4 linked regions of the Medicago truncatula genome follow. The protein of the gene in region 4 interacts with the protein of the main gene of each other region in a pairwise test. Links are inferred from orthologs where the notes say so. Each region holds a gene or a part of one and is shown on either strand. Other genes may lie near its edges. The genes, in order: replication factor C subunit 2, mitogen-activated protein kinase 3, transcription repressor OFP13 and dual specificity protein phosphatase 1.

What was found.
Region 1: the proteins of dual specificity protein phosphatase 1 (region 4) and replication factor C subunit 2 interact in binary tests that used the Arabidopsis thaliana proteins (3 or more experiments, as listed by UniProt). The link is inferred for Medicago truncatula from reciprocal best matches to the Arabidopsis thaliana genes DSPTP1 and EMB1968.
Region 2: the proteins of dual specificity protein phosphatase 1 (region 4) and mitogen-activated protein kinase 3 interact in binary tests that used the Arabidopsis thaliana proteins (3 or more experiments, as listed by UniProt). The link is inferred for Medicago truncatula from reciprocal best matches to the Arabidopsis thaliana genes DSPTP1 and MPK3.
Region 3: the proteins of dual specificity protein phosphatase 1 (region 4) and transcription repressor OFP13 interact in binary tests that used the Arabidopsis thaliana proteins (3 or more experiments, as listed by UniProt). The link is inferred for Medicago truncatula from reciprocal best matches to the Arabidopsis thaliana genes DSPTP1 and OFP13.

What each region holds. Positions count from the first base shown.
Region 1 is NC_053044.1:43,607,542-43,614,998, reverse strand, and holds the start of replication factor C subunit 2, read left to right. Parts: upstream 1-4,427; 5' UTR 4,428-4,543; coding exon 4,544-4,587; intron 4,588-4,689; coding exon 4,690-4,768; intron 4,769-4,847; coding exon 4,848-5,050; intron 5,051-5,150; coding exon 5,151-5,220; intron 5,221-5,307; coding exon 5,308-5,381; intron 5,382-5,945; coding exon 5,946-6,066; intron 6,067-6,182; coding exon 6,183-6,245; intron 6,246-7,457. Other genes in the region: uncharacterized protein, read left to right, coding at 887-1,135, 1,228-1,482. UniProt on the Arabidopsis thaliana protein: May be involved in DNA replication and thus regulate cell proliferation.
Region 2 is NC_053045.1:30,780,328-30,788,134, forward strand, and holds the start of mitogen-activated protein kinase 3, read right to left. Parts: upstream 3,015-7,807; 5' UTR 2,888-3,014; coding exon 2,727-2,887; intron 2,607-2,726; coding exon 2,477-2,606; intron 1,297-2,476; coding exon 1,159-1,296; intron 1,046-1,158; coding exon 713-1,045; intron 462-712; coding exon 278-461; intron 151-277; coding exon 1-150. UniProt on the Arabidopsis thaliana protein: Involved in oxidative stress-mediated signaling cascade (such as ozone). Involved in the innate immune MAP kinase signaling cascade (MEKK1, MKK4/MKK5 and MPK3/MPK6) downstream of bacterial flagellin receptor FLS2.
Region 3 is NC_053042.1:54,140,954-54,146,688, forward strand, and holds transcription repressor OFP13, read right to left. Parts: upstream 1,521-5,735; 5' UTR 1,355-1,520; coding exon 590-1,354; 3' UTR 504-589; downstream 1-503. UniProt on the Arabidopsis thaliana protein: Transcriptional repressor that regulates multiple aspects of plant growth and development through the regulation of BEL1-LIKE (BLH) and KNOX TALE (KNAT) homeodomain transcription factors.
Region 4 is NC_053045.1:56,691,338-56,698,663, reverse strand, and holds the start of dual specificity protein phosphatase 1, read right to left. Parts: upstream 3,011-7,326; 5' UTR 2,884-3,010; intron 2,749-2,883; 5' UTR 2,746-2,748; coding exon 2,617-2,745; intron 2,531-2,616; coding exon 2,395-2,530; intron 1,252-2,394; coding exon 1,131-1,251; intron 194-1,130; coding exon 48-193; intron 1-47. UniProt on the Arabidopsis thaliana protein: Has a dual specificity toward Ser/Thr and Tyr-containing proteins. Dephosphorylates MPK4 in vitro.

The sequences.
Region 1 (7,457 bases), on a different chromosome or scaffold from region 4:
TACTGATACAATAGACTGCATTAATTTTCATCCTTTGCGATGCGGCCTTGAAAACTAAAAACTCTCCACTCACCATATATGTTGGCTTTCCCATACGTGTACACCGGATTTCCCATCCATTTTGTTTCCTATATATACATGTATATCATCCTGCTGCTCATATCATCCTGGTTGTTGGTTTCATCGTAAGAAACGTTTCTTCTCTATTTGCTCCTCTAACTTGATTGCTGTCATAGCCAATTTCCCCTATTACGACTTGCAAGAGGTCGATATGATTGTTTTAGCTTTATTGTGTTTCATATTAAGCAGTTATTTGTGTAACTAACGGTTTACGTTGTTAATTTGTTAGGTCCACTGGTTCCAAACCTTGTTTCCGATCTCGACAGAGTTGTTAACAAGCTTAGAATGAAGTAAAGGTCGTATGGTGTGGAGTAAGACGTGGAAAATGTGTGTATTCTTTTTTTGACAGTAAAAACGGTTTTCAGTATTATATAGTTTTTTTTTCTGATCTTATTTCCATTTTGGTTTTGCCAAACATGTTTGGTGCTGATTTTGGAGATCAGATAACCCGGTTTGCAACCTTGATAGATCCAAGAAACAATCACTTTGAACTTTTGGTCTAGAGGATTAATGGATGGTGACAACCAGGGTACCCATGGAAAAATGGTGGATAATTTACCCCAACCAATAAACATTCACCTTTTTAGGTGGTATCCATAAACTATCTTGACTCCACCAATAAATTACTCATTATGATTGCTTGGTGGGTAAATTACCATTATTTTTCAAAGATAATTTAGAAAAAAACCTTAATAGATACCTTTTTTTTCTTTCAAAAGGATGGAAGGAACTACATGATTTTTATGGGATTCAGTTGGGTGCATGGATGACGCTCGTGTTTGTGGGATTAGGACAATTTGATATTATTGTGAAATACAGGTTTGGAAAGGAGATAAAGGTTCCACCTTTTGATCCTCCAATGAAGTTCGTGATTGACAAGGCTTTTGTGCAACCTACTTTTGATAACACTCTACCTCCCTTTACTGCTAACTTATCCTATCGACATGACAACAACAATTTTCGTTTTGATTTTCCTAATGCTCTGACAGAGTGCGACGTGACCAAAGGCTACCTGGTAATGTTGATTTACCCATTCATACGTGTTTTTGCCAAGATTGTTTTAATCCATGTCATGTAGTATTTGCTAAAATTTGAATTTTGTTGTAGATGCTGTTGTATGAAGGATTTGTTGAGCACACTTTGGACAAGGCCTCTACATCACTTAAGCTGGTTGATGACTGTGGAAACATGTGGGAGTGCATATTAATCCTTGGTTCAGCTCCGTATGAGCACAATAGGATCGATGGTGAATGGAAACGCTTTGTGGACGCGCGTAATCTCTGTGATGGTGTGAAGATCAGACTTGGTGCACCTACAACTGGGAAGAACGATACCCTTTACATCGCTGTCAGTTGGAGTTAGGGTTTGGTTGCAATAATGAAGGTATAATTTGGTTCGTTAGTGGATATTTTTTTGTTATCGGGGAGTAAGCTTTTTTTGGGTTTGGTCTTAAGTTTTCATTTGATGGAGTTCTGTAGTTTTTTAAATTTTTGTGTTTTTTTCTTTTCCTTGCAATTTCTATTTTGTAATTTTGAATTCTGACGACTATTCAGTTTGAGGTCATGTTGCTTAATTAATATAATTGCAATTTATTTCTATGCCAATTTTTTTTTTATGCCAATCTATTGTAAAATTGGAGGTTAAGCCAAAATATAATTGCCCCTTACCAACGTCACCGGTGATACTGCACCTTAATTAATTTTTTCCTCATTCAAATAATATGCAAGTGCATAAACAATCAAAGGGGTTAGTTGCACGAAATTTTAGTGTGTTGTTGATTTAACTTGAAGATGTATATGCTTAAATATATAAAGAATAAAAAACTACACTTTATCTGGATACAATTTATCATGTGATGTTTTCAAAGTTTTTGATGTTAGATCATTGCTCTTTGCATTGGAAACAAACTGCATCAGAAACCTTGATTCTATTGTTTGTGATTATGACCAGAAGCAATGAATTCAACATTAAGTGTGTTCTATGTTTAATAAAAAAAATTAATATTAACAGGAGTATATAAATCTCATAATAATTACTCCCTCTGTTCCAAATTGTATGTCACTTTAGAAAAAATATTTGTCTCAAATTGTATGTCACTTTAGAATACCAATGAAACATTAATGTTACTTTTCCTATTACTTTTTCTTTATTCAATTCTTTCATTTATCTTTTCCATATCATTTATTAAGGATAATTTTGTAAAACAACTCATAATATCTCTTTTTCACACAATATTAATTACATTTCTTAATATGTGTGAAATGGCAAAAACATCATACAATTTGGACGAAGGGAGTAATATAGTAGGGATGGAAAGGTTAGTCACCATGTTTCAAATTCACGAAGCCATTATACTTTCAAAGTGCTAATTCATAACATAATTTAAAATTTAGGAAATGTTGGAAATATTGTGTTTAAAATTGTTAAAATTTATTGTCTATAATATAGTGTATATCTGCCGACACTGGTGCCTTTTTATGGACAACTCTACGCTGTTTCAAAAGTTACTTCTAGACCGAAGATTTCGATCACGGACGAAGATGGTGAACAAACTAACATGACATCTAACGTTGTTTATGAAAAAGAATAGTCAATTTCCCCCCTGAAATTGTAAGTTTCATCAATTACCCCCTGAAAAATTTATATTATTTTTTTCTTAAAAACAAACAATTAATAGTTAAATATTAAAACTAACTATTAATTTTGAAATTTGGGAAAACTACATGCATATATACATCAAAATAGACTCCAAAATGGGGAAAAATATGTATTTTTTAAAGTGACAATAATGGAATGATTTGTGGATTAATATTGGGGGTTGTGTAGTTTAAATGGTTTGAGCAAATTGTTGAAGGAGTTAAAAGACTAAGATGGTGAAGGAGAAAATATAAATTTAAATCTGATTATTAATTTGTTTATAAACCTCTAAAAATAATAATTTGTCTATTAGAAATAACCATTATTGTCACTTTAAAAATACACATTTTTCCCTATTTTGATGTATATATGTATGTAGTTTTTCCAAACTCCAAAATTAATAGTTAGCTTTAATATTTAACTATTAATTGTTTGTTTTTAAGAAAAAAATAATATAAATTTTTAAGTTTGGGGGGCATTTTGCACATAAGTGCAAAACTTCAGGGGGGTATTTACAAAACGTCATGTTCACTAACAGAAAAATTTGACGGAGGGGGTAAATTAACTAAAATTGTGAAATTTCAGGGGGTAATTGAAGTTTTGTTAATTTCAAGGAGTAATTGATGAAACTTACAATTTCAGGGGGGAAATTGACTATTTACTCGAAAAAGTTTTTTGTAATTTGTAATTTAAAAAGGTTTACTATATGTCGTTACCAAACTTTAGCTATATTTGTTGTTCTATTTTTATTTATCTTATATTGCTTAATTGACCATTAGTTATTTATGAAATTCAGACTTTTTTTTTTTTTTTGGTAGATGAAATTCAGACTTTTATTATTATGTTGTAGTGCTCATTTTGTGAACACATTTGATCTTTAAAATTTGAAATATTATTTTATTATTTGAAGATATGTTTAAGCTAAACAGACATGTGCGGTGCACGGGTTATCTATCTAGTTTTCCTTATTATTAACATAAAAAAAAATAAACAAACTCGTCTCCAGTGGTATGAAACGCTGCGTTGCAGGGCAAAGAGAGCGGGAAAATGGTGGTGCCCTATACAAATACGGATTAGGATTTACTGCAGTTGACTCTTTCACGCAGTCGCAGCTGCAGTCAGAAAATAATAAACCGTTAGATTAATCAACCGTATATCATTTCGCCACGTGTATTACCAAGACAACAAAACATCTTCTCTCGGAAGAAACGAACCGTCCACCACATCCCTTCCGCCGGCGCTGCTTCACCAAGACCACCCCACCGCTTTCAACTCTGAATATTCTTTGTGAAATTAAATTGTGCGTTGTGTTTCGATTGAAAGAAAATTGTACTCAATGGGATTTGGGGTTCCAAATTCAAGACCAAGGTTTCAGTGGGATAAGTTTGCCATTTAAAGCTTATCAATCCAATTTCCGACGAGTTAAAGTAACTGTCGTAGTCTATAAGAATGTTTGTGCCTTAAATTGTATCAGATCTATTTCAAACTTGTTTCCATAAAATTGTATCTTTGTTCTTGTTCAAGAGGAACATGATGCGCTTTTCGTTTGTTTAAGAGAGATAAGGTATAAAATGTTTTGTGAATTTATCAAAGAGAGGAATATTGTAACATGTTGTATTTGAACCATTAGATGAATCACACGGCTCACATTTGCCTGACTGTGTAAATTCAGGATTTCTTTGACCGCAGAGAATCTGTATCACACAACACAAATACCCCCCACCACCGGCTGCAACTAGTACTAGTATAGTAGCAGAGAATCGTGTGTGAAGAGAAAATTACTAATATGGCGCCAATCATTCAGAGCACTCAACCATGGGTCGAGAAATAGTAACCACTTTACATCTTCATTTCAATTTCAATTCCAATTTTCTGTTTCTCTAATTTATGTTCTTCGCATATCTAATCTAATTTCTCCCCAATATGTTTCAGCCGTCCAAAGCAAGTGAAAGACGTAGCTCACCAAGAAGAAGTGGTTCGAGTACTCACCAACACTCTCGAAACTGGAAGCGTAAGTAATTTAATTCACCATTTCTAAACCCTAAACCCTCTTTTCTTCTTAACCTATTCGCTTCAATTTTCTCTCACAGTGCCCACACATGCTCTTCTATGGTCCTCCCGGCACTGGAAAAACCACTACTGCCCTCGCTATCGCTCATCAGCTTTTCGGACCTGAACTCTATAAATCTAGGGTTTTGGAACTTAATGCTAGTGATGATCGTGGTATTAATGTTGTTCGGACTAAGATCAAAGATTTCGCTGCTGTCGCTGTGGGTACCAATAAGCCTAAGAAGTATGTGAAAGTGGAATACAATATATTTTTGAGCTTTTGTTTTTTCTCCATTTTATTATAGGATTTTTGTAACTTATGTTTTGGGTTTCTGATATTTCAGTGGTTATCCGTGTCCACCGTATAAGATCATTGTTCTCGACGAGGCTGATTCAATGACAGAAGATGCTCAGGTATGTTTTCACTGTTTTTCATTCCAACCTTTGCTTGTTCAATTAATAAAGTGAAATGATTTCATACCACCTGCAATTTGGTTACAGAATGCACTGAGGCGAACGATGGAAACTTATTCTAAAGTTACTAGGTTCTTTTTTATATGCAACTACATTAGCAGGTACATAGTTTTCTATGAAACCATTTACTGATTTTTTATTTCCTTTGGCATTTTCAATTTCACATCTTTAAGGACTCAATGGCATTTTCTATGAAACCATAATCACCTTGATGTACATGGTTTTGGCCCAATGCTTTGATATGTTTAAGATCAAATTTTAATTGATATACATCTTTATCATTGTTTAAATAAATTAAGTTTTTATTCTAGTTTTTTTTCTTTCTTCAAGTAGCCTAGTGGCTAGAATTCACCTTTTTAAAGGTGAATAAGTGGGGTGTCCGGGGTTCAAACCCCAGCCCCGGCATATAACAATGCATGTCCCTGCCAATTGAGCTATGCTCACGAGGACAGTTTTTATTCTAGTTTGATTATTACATACTTTGTTTTTCTCATATCAGCAAGAAAATTAAAATGTATGCACAAATATGAAATATCATGATCAATACAAAGGAAAATTATAAAGCTAAAGCAATACATTGTATAGTTTTTTTTCCTACTGTTCTTGTCTGTGCTTTTGACGATAGGGGACACACGTGTTTTATACAAGATTGTTGTTTTTTGTAGGATTATAGAACCACTTGCTTCAAGGTGTGCAAAATTCAGGTTCAAGCCACTGACAGAAGAAATCATGAGCAGCCGAATAGTATACATCTGCAAAGAAGAAGGAATCTACCTTGATGCTGAGGTAGGAGCCTTAGAGCTTATATGGCCACTGTGCAATTTTTTAATGGTTTTGATCCTGTCTGTAGAGGTATTGTTGACATCATAGCGGCTTATGTTATAGTATCTTTGCATCTGCAGGGTCTTTCAACTTTAAGTAATATTTCTCAAGGAGATCTCCGTCGGGCTATAACATACTTGCAGGTGAGCACATTTCCTTATCAACAAAGTATATCTTCAGACATGTAACTTATGTTACTTCCTATTAAAAAAGTGTGTTACTTCTATTTTAATGATATTATTACACGGTGTTTATTTTCCTTCTATTCTATTTTTTTTTTTGTTTGTATAAATGAGCCATTTCACTTTGAATAATGTACGTCTGCATGTCTTAAATGGCTATGCTTATTCTGCTCGACTCTGCCAAACTAACTACCAACTAGGCAACTAGGAATTTTGTTGATAATGCTACATATTAGGAAATAGAAAAACTATTATTTATTGCAAAGAGAAATGATATTTGTACAACTATTTTCTAACAACTTTTTGACAACTTTCTCTCTCAGACTCACATTATCTTCTTATTCCCTCTCTTCCTTTTTCTCTCTCTCTCTCTCTCTCTATTATTTTTGACCAATCAAAAGAGAGAAAACCAAAGTTGTCATGAAAGTTGTACCAAAGAGTTGTACATATATCACTACTCTATTGCAAAACTACTAAAAAATATTTTTCCGGTGTTGACAATTGTTTAATTGTAGCCAGTATGCTCTCATTCTTTTTTTGTTTTCGTATCCTGGTTCAATAATTAAAGCCAATGGAAAGTTGATGCAGTGGAGAGTTCACATATGTTATAAATGGGAGAGTTCAATTGCAGGAATGCAAGCTTTCAAATTTTGAGCTTTCTGCTTTCTTGAAAATAAGTTCAATTGAAAGATGGTGAATTGGAGAGTTCATATTGGGTTAATAAGAGGGTTGCCTATGCTTAAAATGGGACTTGGTTCACACGCAGCCGATATGGGACTCTTACTGTTTCTGCCTTAATAATCATCTTTTTCTGTTACACTTGGTAGAATAGATTTGTAATACGGGCACTTATTTGCAACCTGCTCCTTCCTTTCGAAAATATTATAAAAGAAATATCCAATTGATTCCATGTAGATTTGGCTTTTACCTTGCATTAATAACTAATTTGTTTGCATAAGTGAACTCTCTTATGCACTATAGTTGAAAAAATATTGCCACTATAGAATCAAATCAAGGCAGTCTTAGTGATAATAAAGGGATTGTTTATATATTTTTTATTTGACTTACCTTCACGAAGTTTGTACTGATTAATTTATTCTTGAACAATAATAATGACCAAGCTTTTGAGCATTGCATCTATGTATCGAATTTGTATTTATTATTCTCACTAAC
Region 2 (7,807 bases), about 26 Mb from region 4:
GTGCTAATGCTTCCCTGTAGATCATCTCCTTTATTTGTTCTTCATCCAAATGTTGTTGCTCAAACTCAAATGAGAATGGCTCCATGCAGATAGGTTCATCAGCTACGTCATGCAGTTTTTCAAGGTATGGATGAGCCAGTGCTTCTTCAACTGCCAATATTTAAACAAGCAGATATGAAAATTTATTCAATGTAATTCAACATTATATTCAAAATGAACCCATTACTGCTTTATCTAGCTATAGAGACATAAATGAATGCAAGGATGAGAAAATTACCTGTAATTCTTCTGGTAGGATCAATTGTCAACATTTTATCGACAAGATCAATGGCTAAGGGATGAACATGGGGGAAAACCCTATTCAAAGGTTGACGAGGATACTGAGGAAGTTGTCGGATATATCTTCTCGCATCGTCATTTTTTACTAACCCCACATCAGCGTCAGTTGGAGTGCCAAGAAGCTGTAGAAAAACAACAAGTGTAAGCAATTAAGCATATATGATATATTACTACTTTTATGATTAAACTATTGATTGTATTCAAGGCATTAATAATGAAATATTTATATGAATATCAACTTATATGAGTAAGTAGCAACTAGAGAAAACATTTAGTGTAATGTTTTACTCCATCCGCCACATTATAAGTGTCGTTTAAGATAATGCAAATTTTTTAAGAAAATGATTAGTTATGCTGATTCCTATAGTCTTACCTCTGTCAATAAGCGCATTTGATGCACATGATCTTTGCCAGGAAACAGAGGCTTTTTATTCATAAGCTCCATAAAAATGCAACCAACAGACCAGACATCTATTGCAGAGGTGTAATCTGAGGAGTTCAACAACAATTCAGGAGCCCTATACCATCTCGTGACAACATATTCTGTCATGAAGTCACTTTCCATAGTTGGTCGCGCAAGACCAAAATCAATAATCTTCAAGTCGCAATTTGCATTTAACAGCAGGTTGCTTGGTTTCAAATCTCTATGGATTATGTTTGCAGAATGTATATACCTTAGCCCACGAAGAATCTGATACAAAAAGTACTGCAAGTACAAGGCATACAATCATCAGCAAAACGAGTAGTTCAATTAATTCCAGCGCAAAAAAGTTAAGGCAATGATTTTGATACTAAAAACAACAAATTCAAAACACTGACCTGGCAGTGTTCATCTGACAGGTTTTGATTAGAGCGAATGATTTGGTGAAGATCAGTATCCATGAGTTCGGTGGTTATGTAAACATCATTAAACTCTCTACGCAAGGGTGGTGGAATAACATCTCTTAAACCAATTACCTGTTTTAAAAAACAAACATTTTAACCATTACTAAATATACATTTATCAAATTGAGATTTGCACATTTGATACTTTAAGACTTAAACTACAGTGTAAACTTTAAAATGTATGAAAGTAATCAATTAGGCATGAACCAATTATGTATTATTCGAAAGGAAAAAAATATAACCGTTAAGAGTCCCGCATTGAGTGAGAAAAGACCAAAAAATGTGATTATAAATGAAGGCAATACCCATTTTAAAGGCCGGTTTTGTAAGAGTTGAGTTAGGACCAACCCAAAATTTAAGATGATATCAGAGCCTATCTAAGATTTATTAGTCCTGTTAACTAAATTTGTGTCATATATTTTTCAAAAGCAATAAGTTATTATTAGATATTGAACTTAATTCAGCCTTACACAAATAATTGGTGTCACACTCTTCATAATTATTCTTTTGGGCATTATCTTTTTCCATTATTGACTTGGTTTTTTCTCAATCATCATGGTCCACCATTGTCAAGAGAGATGGCTTGTTTCCATTAAATCTCAACAAACGTGTAGCTACTCACCACACATATTTTTCAACATTTAATGTACGACACTTTTACTTCAAAAAAAAAAATCATTTAATGTACGACTCCTAAAATAGGAACCAAATTTTCCATGATCATTACGTACAATACTTGTATTCCTCAATCCTTCATGTATGACTTGAAATGTCAACGCGATATTATCAACAACAATGATAGTGATAGGTACTTAAGAACCTTTCGCAGAAAGTAGCAGCAATGCTAAAAAAAGCCATATAGAATTTCAAATAGTTTTACCTTAATTGACTATTAATTGTCCTTTTTCACACAGATTAGAAAATTTATACCATACAAAGCATATAGATTAACAACTTAATTTGCAGCTTATAACATAAGTGTTTATCATATGTATAAATGATTATTTTAGCTATTTATAATTAAATATAAAATAAAGTTACACTGCTTTTTGGTATTTTTAGAAGTTAATAGCTTACAAAAATAAATAAGCTAAAGATAGTTTATAAACATGTCATAAGCCGTTTTGATAAGTTCTTCTGAACACTCTCAAAATGTTTATGCAGTGAATAAACCGGAATAAGTCAATTCAATGAAACTATCTAATTAATCAAATAAAGTTTAGTAATTAAGAATTTAAAGATAACTACTCACATTTTCATGATCTAAATGCCTAAGAAGCTTAATCTCACGGAGCGTACGCTTCGCATCCATATGATTATCAAAAGCATTCGCTATCTTCTTCACAGCAACCAACTCATTCGTCTCCGTATTCAACAACGAACTTCAAAAATCACATCAACAAAAACAAATCAGATTCATTTCTCACTTTCCAAAACCGTTAAATCAAATCCATCATAAACAAAACCGATTCAAAAAAGAAGTAGATTATACGAAGCAATACCAAACGATTCCGTAAGCACCACGACCAATAGGCATGATCGGAGGACGATACTTAGCCGTAACCTCGAAAAGATTACCGAACACGTTGTACTGAACGAACTGTCCGCCGTGAGTCTGAACCGCCGGAAACTCAGCGACGCCGTTTTGGTTAACTCCGGCCATTGATTTGATTTGATTTGATTTTCTTCACTCTCAAGAATTTTTTTCTCTCTCTAGAAAGCGTCGGCGATGGTAGTGTGTTGAAGAAGAAGGCGGTGAATTTCAATTTAAATAATGTTTATAGTGAGTTATTGACTCGGCTTGTGAAGCACGTTGAATTTTATAGAATCTATTTTCGGAGAAGATGCTACGAAGAAGGTGCGAAAACGCGCGAAGGAGATTAACACACGCGCGTTACAAGAACGACGCGTTTGTATTTTTGATCGGACGGTTGTGATTGTAGCCGCCTCTAATCTACGGTCTTAGCTTGTTCAATTATTTCAACTACTATCTTAATGAATGACTAAAATATAATATCATTAGAAATAAAATAAGTCAGAGGGATTTAAATATTATATACAAAAATTGACTGATACCTACACCTTGATATAAAATTAAAATCTCTCCTAAAATGGACTAATTAGGCCCCTCTTTCCGTCATTAAAAAGAGATCATATACGTATATATTAGTATCACTACAATTTTAGTTAAGAATGATTAATGACTCAAATAATTGATCAACTGTTTTCTGGCACATATATAGGCAATTTGTATCTGACAGCTGTTTTTTATGTATTATATAGGATTAAGATAAGGAGTTGTTTTTCATGTGGAATAAACACACATGTATATTTAATTGGAGTTTAGTTTAAATTAATGTTTTTACAAATGACATTAACATTTGGAACGTTTTATGCAAATGGTTAGGAATATTGCTTTGTAGTAATTGGTCACTCTAACAATGTTAACTCATCTTAGACTATGTTTTGGACAGGCTTAAAGATACGCAAAAACCAGATTTCGGAATCCTTGTAGGACAATATGATGAATATCACACAATGATATGTCTAAAGTTGTTCAATTAGGGTTTTTATCCAAAAAAAATCCTTTATCTTTTTCCTATAAAACCTGACTTATGAAACATGTTTAAGTACACATTTTTTAAACACTAAAACATTACATTCATGACATTTGACTTACTTGATTGTCGTAATGTTTACAGGTACACCATCCCTCAACTGTCATCCAAGTTGTCAATCTAGATTCAAATACACATTTTCTAAAACCTAAAACCTCACACTCATGCCCTTTAACTTACTTGATCGTCATAATGTTTGAAGGCACCGTGGATTAGGTTTTCTTGATAATCTAAGCAAGGAAAAATAAAAATGTTCTCATATTACAAAATGATTTCATTCTTATATTCTCGACTATAATCCTTCTCTATCACTACATTGCTCCAAAAACCAACAATATGCGTGAGAATATGTATTACCCTATTGATCCTCTACTTATTTACTGGCTTGATTCTCTGCCAAATTTGTAGCATAAAGTTGTACTAATACCTATATAAAAAAACTTGTTAAGTAATAATACTTTGTAGGTTGGATGGACGGGGTGTCCACCTATCTTTTCTCAATCCAAAACCAAAACTAAAACCAAAATATTTTTTTATAATAAATGTGTATGAACGTGTTTCTTGATATGTAATTTTTTTTGTCTTGCTAACAAGTGTGCTAAGAGTAATATTTAACGAACCCACAACGAGAAATAATTTTATCTTAAAAATACAAGTCAAACACATGTAAAAGTCATAATTACATAATTTTCAATATAAAAATTATTACTTTATATGGTTAAACAACAGTCGTTAATATTTTCTTGTTAACATGACACAAATCTGATGTGTGGATTCTTGTAATTCTACGCTTTATTGAAATTTCTTTTCAATCATTCATGTTGTTGTTCTTGTTTTATTATTTGTTGCTTTCTTTCTCGTTCCTCGTCTTCCGTTTCAAGCTATTGTCTTTATACCCTTTGTTTAGTCATTTAAATTTCTTTTTTATCAATGTGCACTCAAATTTTTGTCCAAGAATCTTTCGTCAAAGTCATTCACATTTCTGATCATTTCAAATTCAACGAGTTATTTGTTTGTATTTTATGCTTCATGAATAGTTCTCTCCTTCATATACATATCCTTGATAAGTTTCATTGAATAGTTAAACATTTCAAATCTTGTCATCTTTCAATTGTTTTATGCATGATATTTCTATATAAAATTTAAAACTTTTGCAAGCTTTACTTGCATAGTAACCACAATTTGACACCATACTCATTATTTTAAAATTATGGTGAAGCTTGACTACAAAAAATGAAGTTTTTTTTTGTGGGAGTCATTCTTTATAATTAAGATTAGGGTTACTACATAACCATTGGATTTCCTATGGATTGAACTCAAAGTGATTAATCAATTTAGAATATGACAAATCATTTGAGAAAACATTAAATCTTGGTTCGGACAACTTTTAATTAGATTTTACTTGCTTTAAATTATCATAATCTCCTTCTCCTAAGAACCAAAATCAAATCAGACGCTCAATCGACAAGATATCTATATCATAGTTTAGCTACTTTATTAACTTGCTCAAACATAAGAAAGCACAATTAAACCGCTCAAATAACTTAATCATAAATAATATCGATCCACAATTCAACCAATTAGACGGCTAGTTTTGATTCAATTTATAGAACATTAACTTAAAAATGACCTAAACATGTCTCATAATTGAGTAAACTTCATAGCAGGTGTATGTATTCCTATTATTCAGGAGTCAACATTTGGTACAGAAATTAAATTTCAGACACGACCTAGTCTCATATTTGCAAACAAAATATCTGGTGTTTTCCATTTCAATAATGTGCACGTGAGGAACAAATGCACAAGCCACATGGAATAACAAAGTCAAATAATAACAGCAATAGAATAACTTCACCTACGAAGCACGGGGCGCCCCTTCTCTACAGATAATAGAATGAATAATAATAATAAATATATCATGACAATGGTAAGTGGTAATGGGGGTTTCTTTTCTCATTCTATTTCTATCGATGACTTGATACTATAACTACCTCGAAAACTATTAAACATTATTGACTTTCTCAAACAATATTTTTGACTCTTTTTTTTTTTTTTTTTTTTTCAAACTAGATGAACCTTGAATATTTCAAAACAGAAATGTTAGTTGAACTATTTTTGGCACAAATAAATGATTAATTATGTATAGTACTTGGTTAATGGTATCACTTTTTAACGGTGATTTTTGACACTTAACATTGTTTGTTTATTTATTATATGGTTACACGGTTTAATAACATAGTTAATTCAGTTCATTATGTGATTAACAAATATCTTGATGTAGTTCAATTATATTTATTTATTTGAAAATTGATTTTTTTTTTTTTTTAAAACACAACGTGGTTCATTTTTTCATTTCATGATTAAGACTTTTTTTTTTTTTGCATAAAACATGTATTTTCCGTGCGTCCTCTCAAAAAAAAAAAGTATTTTCCGTGCGCTCCCTCGAGCCTTATGAAATGCAGATAGAAAGTAAACCTTGCATACATTATGCATTGTTCATACCAACATAGAGATATTGTCTTCTCATCTAAGTGTTCTTGGATCATGCTTAAAGCATTTTAAATATGTTTAGTTGATAATTGTAATTCATTAAACAGTAATAAATTGAATGAACCAAATATTTGAATGTCGGTAATCATGGACTTATTTGTGGTTATAAAAAAAACTAAACTAAACTATATAATAACTCATTAACCACATAATGAACTGAATCAATCACCCATTTAAATTGCATTAACTAAACTAATTTGCTATTGGATAATCGTTTGTTTCTTCTTAAATATGTCTTGTCATCACTCCTAATCTATTTTCTTTCCTTCTTGAAGACTTCATCATATGTATATATAATTTCCTCTATTAAATCTATATTTTGATTTTTTTTTTTTTTTTTTGGTGGGGGGGTGTCTAGGAAATCACCATGGATCAACTGGGATAATATTTGTTCGGATAAAGAGAAAGGAGGGTTGGGGTTAGGGGGATTAGTCAAATTAATTTACCATGGTTATAAAAGTGGTGTTGGAGAATGCAGGCGGAACAATCGAGTATAAGGTTTAAGGTGTTGGTAGCGAAGTATGGGGTAGAGGATGGTGAGGGTGAAAAAGGGTGGTCGTATGGGTTCACATTGATGGCACGATATCATGACCATACGTAGAGGTGTAGGTTTGGGTGTGGGGAGTTGGTTTGACGAGAATTTGGTGTGGGTTGTGGGTCACGGGACCAAGACTTTCTTTTGGTCAGTCTAGTGATTGGATGGAGGGGTGATGAGTGATAGGTTTAGGTGGCTATATTCATTATTGAAGAATCATTTTGTTTCACTGGCAGAGATGGGGGACGGGGAAGATGGGTGGAAATGGTGGCGTAGGCTTTTGACTTGGGAGGAGGAGTAGATGAGTGTGTGCAGTATGTTGTTGTCTAACATTTTTTTTTTCAAGGATGGTGTGGGTGACAAGTGAGATTGGAGCCTAGATCCAGGCAAAGGGTACTCTGCCAAGTGGCCAACCATTTACTTTCTTCCAGTATTTTGCAATATGGTTTGCTTGATTATTATGATTATGTGTGGGATATAGTAGTGTGAAGGATGCTTCTCAATCTCATTCCAACAAAGGATAGCTTGATTTATCGTGGTATTATTCCCCACAATTCTAATCTTTGCTCGAGTGGGTGAGGTCAAGCTGAAAATATTGATCATTTGTTCGTTGGTTATGGGTTTTATGGCAGCATTTGGATTATTTAAAAAGAAATAAACAATTGTCTCTTTCGCCGAAAAATTCTAGATAAATTAAAATAAAGACTAAACAAACTTATTGATTTTGACTCGGACGTGAAAAAACTCTAGATTTAAGAGTATTTCGTCACCCTAAATTAGTTGTCTAATGTGGTTGATTTCAAAGTCAATATCTCTAAAATGCAACACTTACTACTCGCTAACACCTAGTCCTCAATTAGCAAGGACACATAAACCACTT
Region 3 (5,735 bases), on a different chromosome or scaffold from region 4:
TATTTTTAATTTTGTCAAAATAAAATATAATTTAGACCAGTGAGGTTTGGGAATATGCATGTTTGGTGTACCGCTTCATTTCCTTCCAAAAAGTACATCAAGGCTGTCGTAAAGATTATAAGGAATCGGTGGAAGCCAAAGACAAGATGAGAGTGCAACCTTCAAGAACAATCTTGTAGATAGTTTTTCATCAAATGCAGATTTTAAATGTGAAGAAATGGAGTGTCCAAGATTCCAACCCCTACTTCAACATATAATATGAAATATTTTTATCAACTGAGTCAAACTTACGGAGATGTATTTAATTCATTTATATCGTTTTAGTGTTGAATTTAGAACCATTTTAAATAAATAGTTTTTAAATTCTTCGGTCACTTAGATATCTTTGTTATTATTTTCTCCCTAAACATGATTAAAGTAGACTAAAACTCATCTTGTTAAGTTATGATTCAAGTTGTCCTGCATCATAACTTAATTAACAACAAACCACAAAACAAAATCACTATAACTTAATTTTCATTAAATTTTCTTTCAATCTACAAAATGTACAACAACAAAAAAGGTTAAAACTAGCTACATCTAATTAATACTAAGAAGCTGTTACATTATTATTATTATTATTATCTTCAATCTCAGTAATCTCACTCTGTCCCTCACATAGATACAAAGGTGAAGAAGAGGCAAAAGAAGAAACAGCAGAAGAATATAAAGTTAAATTAGAACAAGAGTTATTAGAATTATTAGAAGCTGCTAAACTAATCAACAAATCAACAAAAGCACCAACAATAAACCCATGATTATTTTTACCATTAACTTTCAAATACCAACTCAAAAGCTCTTCCAAACCATCCCAATCTTTCACACCATGAGACTCAACAATCTCTTCCATTGATCTCTTAAAATCTTCATATGGATCCTCTGACTCCATAGCTAACACAACACTTTCTTTGAATGGAAAACCATTAGCCTTCGCCTTTTCTAAGATCGAACTCGTGTCTTCTGCTTCGAAAAACAATCTCTCCGACTTAACTCCTCGTACCAATGTCTCCAATGATTCGCCGTCGTTGTAGCAATAGTAATCTTCTGATTCTGTTGAGAAACTTGCAGATTCAGATGATGTTGTGAACCATGATTTTGGTGTTTCTATATTAATGTTGTCTGTTTGGTCAAAAAACACAGAATTAACCGTTTTGAATATGTGATCATCAGCAGCAGAAGTAGAAGCAGCACCAACTCGAAAAGAAAGAGTTTTTGGATGGCCACAAGAGGGTAAGAATTGCCATGGATGTTGTTTTCTTTGTGAAATTTCTTTGGTTTTGAAAAGAGAAGGTAGTTTCAAATTTTTCTTTCCCATATTGTTTGTGAAGAGAGGGTGGGTTCTATGAGTTGTTGTTGTGTTAGGAGAGTATTCGTGTTTGTAATAAATTTGATGAGAAATGAGTTATTTAAAGCACAGGATTGTGATATGAAGCAAAAGAATATGACAAGGAAATGGGGTCTGGTAGGTGCTTTCATGTGTGAATTTAATTTGTAGGTTAGTAAAATTCAATGTTATTCAATGCACGCATCAACAACTGAATGTAACAGCACTCTTTTCAGAAGTGTCAGTCTCATATCTTCCTAAAAAAAATGTTAGATATTTTTAATTTATTTTTAAAAAATATATAATTACCATCAAGGTAAGAGATTTAAGTAATCTCAAACAAGTGGTCGGGATTTGATCTTTTCATATTTGTGTATGGAGAAAAATTGGTTAAAAAGGATAATCCATCAGTCAAATATATTTAACGACGAAGATTGAATAACGATAAATGGTGTTAAATATTTCATATGTATAATATGATTGTAAAAAAAATATCGAGTATCTTTTTATAAAAAGAAAAAGGTATGTCAATTTGGCTCCGAACCTCAGGGTTCATATAGTGTTGACGTAGATACTTACATATTATTCGTTCACGACGACCTTAGATCAGTAAATAGATCTGGATCTAAGTTTTTGTGGTTTGTGAGTTCTCAACTGAAACCTTATCAATTAGATCACTTTTTTAGTATTAACCCTATGATTCATAAAGAAAAGAGATTTTGGTAATCTAGAGTTCGGTTGAATGGTAAATAATGAATTCAATTCATTTTTGAGAGAGCTTATTAACGATTTGAGTGCAATACTTGATTACCTACTAGATCAATTTGAATCAACTAGGTTAGCATGAAGAAAACAAAACATAACCGGTAAAATGCATTTATTATTGTCATATGTGTTTGACCTCGTGAGGGCATATTTCTTTTTCTTTTTTAAAGAACATAAAAGAAATTACTAACAGTAGACCAGGAAACAAATGTGTCCTTCATTGGCATTAAAATAAAACCATTACACATTTATGGCAAAAGTAGGAAATTTTCCCATAACCTTTTAGTAGGGTTGAGAGAGGCAAAAATTTAGAAAACAAAGTGAAGTCAGTAAGGTATAAAATTAGTGAAATTAGGTGAAAAAGACATTTATGGCATATTATAAGTGAAATATTTGTGGTTGGAATAGAGAGACTAAGAAAATTTTGCTAGTAGTAGCTTATATGAACCGAAGAAAAGAAGGTGAATTCTTGTGATGTTTTTAAAGAGGGAACGGTTGCATCACGCATACTGTATCTATTTATTAGAAAAGGATGGTTTTGAGATCTAAAAAAACTAGGCTCTGTATTTATTAGGAACTTCTTTTTATTGTTTTTACCTCATATACTATATATCCCTGTCACATTCAATAAATAACCCGTCATTTGGATAGAGGGAGAGATACCATATGATATTTCTGCTTTTCACCCAATAATTTATATGTAAAGATTTTTTTTTTACGGTTAATTAACCCGTTAAATCATTAATCACATTTAACTTTAATATTAATTACTTCTAAAAATCACGTGTATGATTAGTTGTGATAATGTAAAAACCGTCTCACGCAATATGAGATATACAATAAAGGAAAGAAAGTGATATAAGAAGAAAAAATAATAGATTTGATGTAGCAAAATAGAGAGGAGAAAATGGGGTAAGAAAATCAAGATTACAATTGAAAATGTTGTATAGAGTTAGTACTTGATCGTGCTAGTTGACTTGTTTGTGAATGGCTAAAAAGAATTAGTAAGTAGTAATACACAGTTGCATATCCATTCTTTTATGTACATGCATAATGCATTACATTCTGTGATCGATGTACATGAATGTTTGTTGGCCACTAATAAAATAGAAATTCCCCCACTTTGTTGCAGCATAGTGCTTTATAAATTACTAGTAATAAATAAATTATACGTATGCATTGTTTCTCAATTTATGATCATCAATATATCCATTTCCCAAAGTTGACCAATCCTCTCGATAAGGCCCTTGTGCTTACTTTTGTTGGAATGAATCGAGTTGACTTTAAATTAAGTTGATGAATTTCAATTTCTTGAGTTGCTTGAGGTAGTTAGTTTCGATGATTTGCTACAAATGACAAAAATTGGTTTCCTAAAAATAAAATAAAAAGGTTTAGTAGTTCTAATTTTATGTGCAAAATGCACACAAATTTGGGTTGTGGTTTGAGGTACAGGTTAATAAATTGGAGGTCGGGATTCAAGTCCAAATTAGATGAAGAAAACATACTAATATTTACTATTAAAAATATGCAAATAAATTGTTTGACAATTGTGTTCAGAATATTTAGAACTACTTTACAATTAAGCAGATTTATTTTGTAGGAACCGTTAGATTTGAAGAGATAAATTCCACCGCCCATGCATCTTTTTTTTTTTTTTTTTGTGGTGACCGAGGTTCGAACTCCGACCCTTGTATATATTATACATTATCCTTACCAATTGAGTTAAGGTCACAAGAATCCAATTCTAAACACTAAATTGTCAATGTATGTTTGATTCTATTTTTAGAGAATTAATTATTATTTTTAAGAAGTTTAGAGAGAGAGAGAATTAAAATTGATTTTAAATAAGTAAAATTATGAACACTTAGAATTAAATTATTGTCACCGTAACATTTTATATTCGAAGATCAATTTTGTTTTGTATATTGAATATCCTTGAAGACAAATTGTTTAATTATAATTTGCTGGCATTGTAGCAACCACCTTTTGATCAATCCGATGGTATCTATAAACCATTAAAGTTGACTCCATATCAAGCTTATTAGTTACTATTAGCTAGGGAGTTGGGATCTCTTATCCAAAGCTTCACACCTTATCCTATAGAGAAAACTTAGAAATAATAATGCACCTGTTTTTTCTGTGACTAAACAAATGCTTGTACACTGATCCATGTGATCATGGGTCCTAAAATAATGGCTTAGTTGTAGATAAAAGTAACACTTAGCAAACTTGAAAATGAGGTTTGAGTAGAGGTCCCCAACATTATTTCTTATCAAATTAAAGCCATTAAGCTTTTAATAGTAAACATGACAAAGAATAATTGTAACCTCATGATACATAAAAGGAATGATAACTATATTACACTAATGTTGATGAATCAATAAGTACTTTGGTAGTGATTACATCCAATGGATGCCTTCTACTTAAGGAGAAAACTCCACGTGAATTTTATATTGAATAACTGTCATTTAATTTTAGGCCCTTGTTTTCACAAGTCTGGTTTTACTATAGATCCTCGTGAATCTATATGGATATTTAATTTCCCACTTGCACTGTTTTGTTGTCCCATTCTTATGAGAAAAATATTGTTTTTTTTTTTTTTTTAAGTCTTACATATATTTTGTTAGTTCAGCAGAAAGATAAATAAAATCTGATAAATAATTATTTTGACGAAATTTGAATCCCGAATCTCTCAAATAAAATAATCATATGAGAAAATTATTGATGAAAATGTTTTTCTATTATGTATAAATTTACACAGGTTACGAAGTTCAAAGGGATAAGTTTGTCTTGAAACTTATGTATTTTATATTAAAATATATAATTTTTTAATAAATAATTTTTGGGCGAAAAAATGGTTTTAATCAGATCCCTTTTTCAAAATAATCACAATTGATTCTCTCAAATAAAAAACTAACAGAAAGAATACAAAGTCCAACCAATTAAATATTATCATTTTCATAATAGATGCCAAAATTACCCCTACAAAAAACAGATAGCCAGAATTTGACGAAAATTATACGAGGATCTAAAAACAATAATTATCCTCCCCTCAAGTAAAAAAAAAAAAAAAAACAATGATTATCCTATCCTAAGAATTTAAATATATTTAAGCATATAGTTTTTTTTGTGATTGGAATTTGCCTACGGTATTGGATATTTGGATGTTTCCTATACTAGTGAGTAGTGCCAGCTCCAAACTAGATGACGATTAATTTTATTCAATGCAAAATCGAATAAGTTTATTTTTATCATGATTCCAATAATGAATATGAATAGTATAGTAGAAATGAGATGAATATGAATAATTTAATTTCTCCAATGTGTTTGAAATCTCTTTTTAAATTAGTAGTAGAACCGTAGAAGTGATATCCTTGTGTGGAATCTTTGTATCATTATGTCTTCCGAATCTTGGGTTCTAAGAGAAAAATATAGTTGGAAGTGAACTGTTATGTCTCCAACTACACTTATTGGCTATTGGTCATGCTCCATGCATGGATGCACATGCCAATTTCAATTTTCAACTATGGTTATTCCCCAACCTCTCTGTTTCAGAATTGTTTAATTAACTTCCTAACGAGTATAAGGTTTTTTTTATATTATTTTA
Region 4 (7,326 bases):
TTGGCATGTTGATGTTTAATTATATTTAAGATTAATACAGTTTTAACCTTGAAGAGATTTCTCAAAGTCTTCCAGCTGACGAATGAAACCACGATTTGGAGTTGCTTGTGGTCTTTTGCATTTTACATGTTGCAGAGCTTCAGATAAGCTCATTCCCCGAGACTTCATCAGATATGCCACAATGATAGTCACACTAGAAGGTGGAAATAAATTAGAACCAAGTTTTTCCAGTTAATCTAATGAAAAAGAAAATAGCCAAATGAACAATATGAATACCAAGATTCTTAGTTCCAATATGACCATTAAAAAAGGAGGTAGTAAAATGCTGCATGAACTTTGTGCAGAATATAAGTGACAGGCCAATAGTAAACAAGGACATAATCATCATTCATGAATCTCAAGCTTACATCCCTAACTTTCCATTCTACATATTAAAAAAATCGATGGCATCTCAATTCATACTATAAAGCATTTTTAGTCTATTTCATTGAGAAGCATGCACACTTCAATTGTCAGTTCAAATGTTTAATATGTCAAAGTTCAAACGGAAAAGATCGACATGAAAGCAGATTTCTGGAAAAGAAAACAATAATGACAGGGAAAACAAAAAAAAAATCATATCTGTAATTTTCAAAGCATCAACAAGGTTTGTCATTTTCCATATATGAAACAATTTGACATTTAGCTCAACAATCATATCCTCAAATTCCACATGGCATCACATATATATGGCCATACTCAGAACATTATTACAATGGATTTCAAGAGATAGTATCATTGAACTAAAGACATAATTAAAAAGCTATAAGCTTCCATGACATTTTCCCAACTTTATAAGCAAAACATAATATCTGCTATTGAATAATAAAAGACAATGATAACAAAATAAAAATGTAAGGATTTTAAGAAACATTGAAATTCAAATATGCAATGTGCTGCTCCCAGTTTTTGCTTGAGAAACAACATTCCAGAAATTTAAACCAAAACAAAACAAAAATGCCTGAGATGATTGAGACATAAAACAGATTTCAACTTATTGACACTTGTCTAAAGTAAAATAATAGTCTGTACAATGAACAAGAAATGATCCTATGTAAGCAAGAGAGAAAGATATAAACAGCGAAACTTACCTCCTCGATCTTCCAGCATAACAATGAACCAAAACACTTCCACCATTACTTTTAGCTTCATCAATAAAATCAAAACACTCTTCGAAGTGTTGTTTTAAGTTGGTATCCTCTTTGTCAGCAACTTCTCAATTTTCCAACAAAAGTGTAACTTTAGTATGGATATTGTGTACTAGATGCCTAAAAAACTTAAGACAAAATTAGAGTGTAATCAATATAATCATAATCAACCTTAATGACAAGCAACATGGACCTGAAATGTTGTGCAGTCTCATTTAATTGATCGCAATATTACACGAGTCGGTTAAAAAGGAACTGACATTCTGAGATGATAACATCTATTATAACAAAATACAATTTCTAAGATAGAAGGAAATTTTTTGACAGCAACTGCATGCTAAACAGATTGAGATCCTCTCTCTAGTACTCGACACATCTAGTAGGAGGGAGAGAGAGAGAGAGAGATGAATAACTAAAAAAAATATTACATCAATTTCTCTCCTATTGAAAATGTCGAGTAATGGAACAATCTCAACACATGCTAAACTTTCAAAGATCAAAGCACGCTTTTTCATAATTGCAAAGAAAATGCTAAACTTTTATAGATCAAAGCACGCAATGGTCATGGAGTCAAGGTTTTGCTCTCCACCTGAACCCGCCTCCCAAAACCCACTCCATTGTCACCAAAATAAAAATTAGGTACCCGACCCTGTCCTAATCGGTGTTCTGTAAAACCCACCCTACCACCACTTCCTTCCTTTTGCCCTATTTTAACATTATTTCTTTAAATAAACCTTACATTAAATGCAATACAACTCAAATAATCCATAAACATGGAAACTGAGAACCTCAATAAGGTAACAAAAGTTAACATCCAAATCATCTTACTAATAAAAATAGGTAACCTCAACCTTATATTTTGACTAATATTGTAACATTATTGATGAAGATATGTATTTCCAAACACACCCTATCCATTTGTTTAGTCCATTATATAGTGAATTCACTTGCATTACTTTGATAGCCACAAAACCAACAGCTCCGAAAGACCAAAATCAAAAAGAATAAAACCGCATCATTGTCAAAATCAGTTCCAGATCATCTATGTAACACCGACATCCCTGATTAAAGGCGTGTCACCGACACCACATTGGATATGTGATTACGTTCAGTTAATTCATTTTCTCAAATTTTTACTAGTGTCAATGTGTCAGTGTCATGTATGGTGACCGTGTGAGTGCAATAAGTAATAATAAAAGAAACATACCATCTATAACTTTATAGACGAAATCGGCAGGATGTGCAGGTGCAAGTTTCCCAGCCACAGTCAAAATGTGAGTAACATTCACATTTTTTAAACCAACCTTGTTCGTAGCAGAACCAACTGAACCCAAAAACAAACCCTAACCAAATATCATTCATCATTAGTTACAAAATTCAGAAGAATAGTGAAGATAATAACAAAATGAAGCTTGATTAAGTAAACTACCTGGTCAATTTCACAAGGAATATTATCCTCTTTCAAGGATTTATTCAAAAGCACAACCTTCAAAATTAATGCAATTTGTTTCTTCATCGATTCGTCGAATTCATTCATAGCTTCTGATGTTGAAGCCATTTCCTAATTCATACAAATTCAATAATCGTATCAGTGTTAACTGTTAAAGATATATAAATAATCGATTGTGATGAATATAATCAAATTCTGGCGAATATAAACACTTGAACTGATAGTACGAAAAGGAGAAGAACTCACCAATAAAGCGTTTACGATTTTGCATAGAGAAACTCCACTTTTTTTTTTTTTTTCTCCTTGCTTGCATATGAGAAGTAGAGAACATTTATTTAGCCCATTAAAATGCCAATTTTAGTCTCTTTTTTTTATATAGAATTTTTTATCCTTTTGAAATTTCTATTTTTAATTTTAATTCTTGCGTTTCATTTTTTAATCTAGCCAAAATTGTTCCACACATAAATCGAAACGAGCTTCATTTGAATAATTTGTCTTTTATGAAATACAAAATTAACTTGAATAAGAAAAAGATATGTACATATATAAAAGTAATTGAGTGAAAAATAATTGGTCATCTCTTCCTCCACAGGTCGAGCTAGAAATTTAACAACGGTTAAGGGGGGACATGTTTAAGTGTGCGTTTGGTTCAGCGGTGGAAATAATTGATTTTGATAGAATTGAGTTTGATAAAATTGATTTTTGAAAAAAAGTGACTTGAATGTGAATTGATTCTTAGAATTCTTGTTATTTGAATGCATAATTACCAAAATGAGTATAAATATCTATTTAAAATTATATTTTGTTTCTATTTTATATAATTATTCAAATTTATGTTGCATTATCAATTTAATTATTTGTAGATTAGAAAAACTTCTAAAATAAAATGCATGTTAATTTGATACTTTAATTTGAATTAGGTATACTATATAAATATTTTTACACATATTAATTAACAAATTTTCTCTTTGTACAAAAAATAACAAATTTTGTCAAATGGTTTTTTCTTAAAAAAGAATCTGTAAAAAATGTAATGGGCTTGCATAAGAGGAGAAATTAACTAATAGGCCTATGAAACCCAATTTCATTTTGTGAAAATTAAAATAAAATAAATAAATACAAACCCAATTCCATCTTTTCTCAAAGAAAGAGAGAGAATGTTGAAGTTTGCTGGGTAACATGAAGGCAGAAACAGGGTCGAGAAAGAATTTGAGCAACAAAAAATTCATCACTTTTGCTGTGTTTTATAAAACTTTGTCGAAAAATGAAAAAGAATATCATGGGTAATTTAGGAAAGTACATCAGCCACCAAAAGTTGAATTCCTAAATTGCTTTTGAAAAGCTCCAACTTTTAGCTTCTGGTAAACGTGAGTTTGGGGGTTGAATCACTTTTGCAGTTACCCAAACACCACAAAAATAGAAAAACTGCTTTTGAGTGCTTCAGACTCACGTTTGTACCCACAAAACGGGTAACCAAACGAGCACTAAAAGATATTTAGTTAAACAAAACAAAAAATCTCAAATGCACTACATATATAAGAATTTTAATCTACATTTTATGTTTTTTTTTTAATAAATCTACATTTAAAGTTAATATTAGGAGAAGAGAGAAAAATTATATTTACTTATTTGATTTAGTTTATGAAAGTTACTCTTCTCAATTCCCCAATTTTCTATTTTCGCAATTGTTGTGGGTCGAGTGACACTTAACTATCGTTCACCTCTCCAATGTACCGCTACGAGTATTTTGGTATTTTCAAATGGCAGGGAGAAAAAATGGAAGTGAGAAGAAAAAATATCTTATTTTATTCTATTGTCGCTTTTATAATTGACATACTTAAAGGGTTCTTTTTTTTCATAAATGACAAATGCTCAATGTTCAAATAATCGAGGACTCCAACAAAAGAGCTAATGACGGGGGACCACGTTCACAATACTAGTGAAATAGCATAAAATTAGTAGTATAAAATTTTTAAGAAAAAAATTGGGGGGGGGGGGGGGGGACGACCTCCCTTGGCCACCCCATTACCTTTGACCTTGCTTCTCTCTTTTCCAAACCTTAATCGTCACCAATTTTTTTCTTCTTCACTATCCTAGAAGGGTGAAGATACTTGAATAAACAACTATACTGATGTTTAAAAAAAACAGCTATATTGAGTAATTTAATAAACTATTGACTAATTTAATACTACCATATCGTCAGATGCTAAAAAAATAATTAATGAGTGTAGATCTCTACAAATTTTTGCACCTCTCGCTATCTCTTCTTTCACTCTTTTCTTCATCAGCTGCATTAATATACCTAAACCCAACACCTTTGTGTTTTAATCAATAGAAAATTATATTTTTATGTGGTTTTTCTGCTGTTGAATGTTACTCCTGCTCATCTATATTGTACATGTGATTATTTTGTTTTGTTTTTGTCTGTGAATGATATTTAAGAGAGGATCATTTGAATTGTAGATCTGGTTTGGTCACAAGAAAACCTCTTTGTAGTGTATCTTGAGGGTGAAGGTTCCTCTAATGATTTGTGTTTGAAAATTATCACAACTTTAATTTAATCATATCATCATATATATCTATATAAAAATATAAAGCTATGGTGTTCAACATTCTTGCTCCTTCTTTATGCTTTTCACATTTATTTTAAAACTTGTCACGCTAAATGACTTTGATGAGTGCGTCGGTTTATCATAATGAGTGTGTGAACTGTGATATATAAGTGGTATAAAGAATTTCCTAAAAAAAAAATGTAAAGAAAGAAAAAAAAGTAAAGATTTTAGGTGTTGGGTGTTCTTTATCTTCTTTTCACTAATAAAAAAAAGGTTAAATATGTTTTTAATCCCTATAAATATATCAACTTCTCATTTTAATCCCTCTAAAAAATTTCTTCGACTTTTAGTCATCGCAAAATTTTGCATCTTCACTTTTAGTCTCTCATTTTAAGTAAACTCATATATCTAGAATTCATATTTTTGAAGAAAATTTTACATAAAAATTTATAATATTATAGAATCTCTCCAAAAAACAATTTGAATTTTTTAACAAAACATAAATTAAATATGAATTTTTATATTTTTTGCGGTTAAAAACTCATATTTAACTCATGTTTTGTTAAAAGAGAGATTTTTACAAGGGTTAAATATGTTTTTAGCCCTTAAATTTTGCATGACTTTAAAAGCATTTATTAAAATGTAAGGACTATTCTTCAAAGTCACGCAAAATGTAGGGACCAAAAACATATTTAATCTTAAACTAATTGGGATCTACTAACTGTCACATCAGCATTCCGTTAAAGAATTAACAACAATGACTAATTTTGATAACGGAGATAAAATGTGAGGATTTTAAAAAGGTTTAATGAAATGTATGGACTATTCTTCAAAGGGACGCAAAATGTAAGGACTAAAAACGTATTTAACCCTTTTTACACAATTTCATTAAAAAATACATGAGCCGATTTAAAAATAAAGACCAAAAGTGATGATTGAAATTTTATAAGGACTAAAATCTTGAACAAAAATTTTAGGTGACTAAAATAAAAATTTAGTATATTTATAAATTATAGGGATCAAAAAAAGATTTAACCTAAAAAAAAATGGTTCCCTAATATTGTCATACAAGGTACAGTTTATGTTAGTACAAAATCAGAATCTTCAAAGCTTGGAGATGTTTACAGACATTAGCTTTTGAACCAATGTAGAAGTAAATCATAGGTGATAAGTCTTTTTTGTCTGCACTTTATGTCAAAATTGGGTTTTCTGTATAGGCTTTCATCAATTCAGTTTGCAACTGCTGAGGTGTTGAAATATTTTATTCCTCAAGATTATTAAAACATGAATGAGCAAGCTTAACTTGTATCTCTGAGTATTCAATTGCTGCAATATTTGGAAGTTTGCACTGCAATGTTTTGTATTCAAATTAGATTAAACAACTTGTATTTCTTAACTTTACATGGATTGCTAAATAGGAAAGCGAGAAGTGGTAACTGAATACTTTTGCGAAAGAGAAAAGTTGTAAAACCAAGAAGAAGGGTAAGGTACTACCACCGTATCAATCAAAGTTAAATACTAAAAACTTCCTACAATTTCAACACACCGACTCCAAAATATTCTAGTATCTTTTACAAAGCAAGAACATCCAAAAACAAAATGCCTGGATATACAAAGGAAAAAGAAACTGAGGCATCTTGAATAGATGTTCATGTACTGTGTCCTTCAAATTCAATTGCATGCTGCCTTTATTTTCACTTGCTTTCTATTGTAATGTCTGAAGTTAAATGTTTGGAATAACGATGATCATTAAAGTGTGTATGCATCTCGTCCAACCCCAAGTGAATTTTGATTCCTTGCTATTTGAGATTTTTTACATTCACACATTTTAAACTATAAAAGAAAAATTAAAATCTACATATTTTTAAACAATCCAATGTTAATCAATCCTTTACAATATCCCAAATGCGTGAACGCGGAAAATCTTAGTTAGATGAAAATTCCTACCAAATAAATAAATAGAGGGAGAGGTTAAAGTTGAACGATAATGTAAGAATCAAAACCTTCCCTTCTGGTCAAAACTTCTCAACACCTACACTCCATTATTAATTTCCCTTACCATACAAAAATCAAAAGCTATATAGAAAAAAGAAAGCATGTGTGAGATGCAAACTGCAACTGAAATTGTACTCTTCTA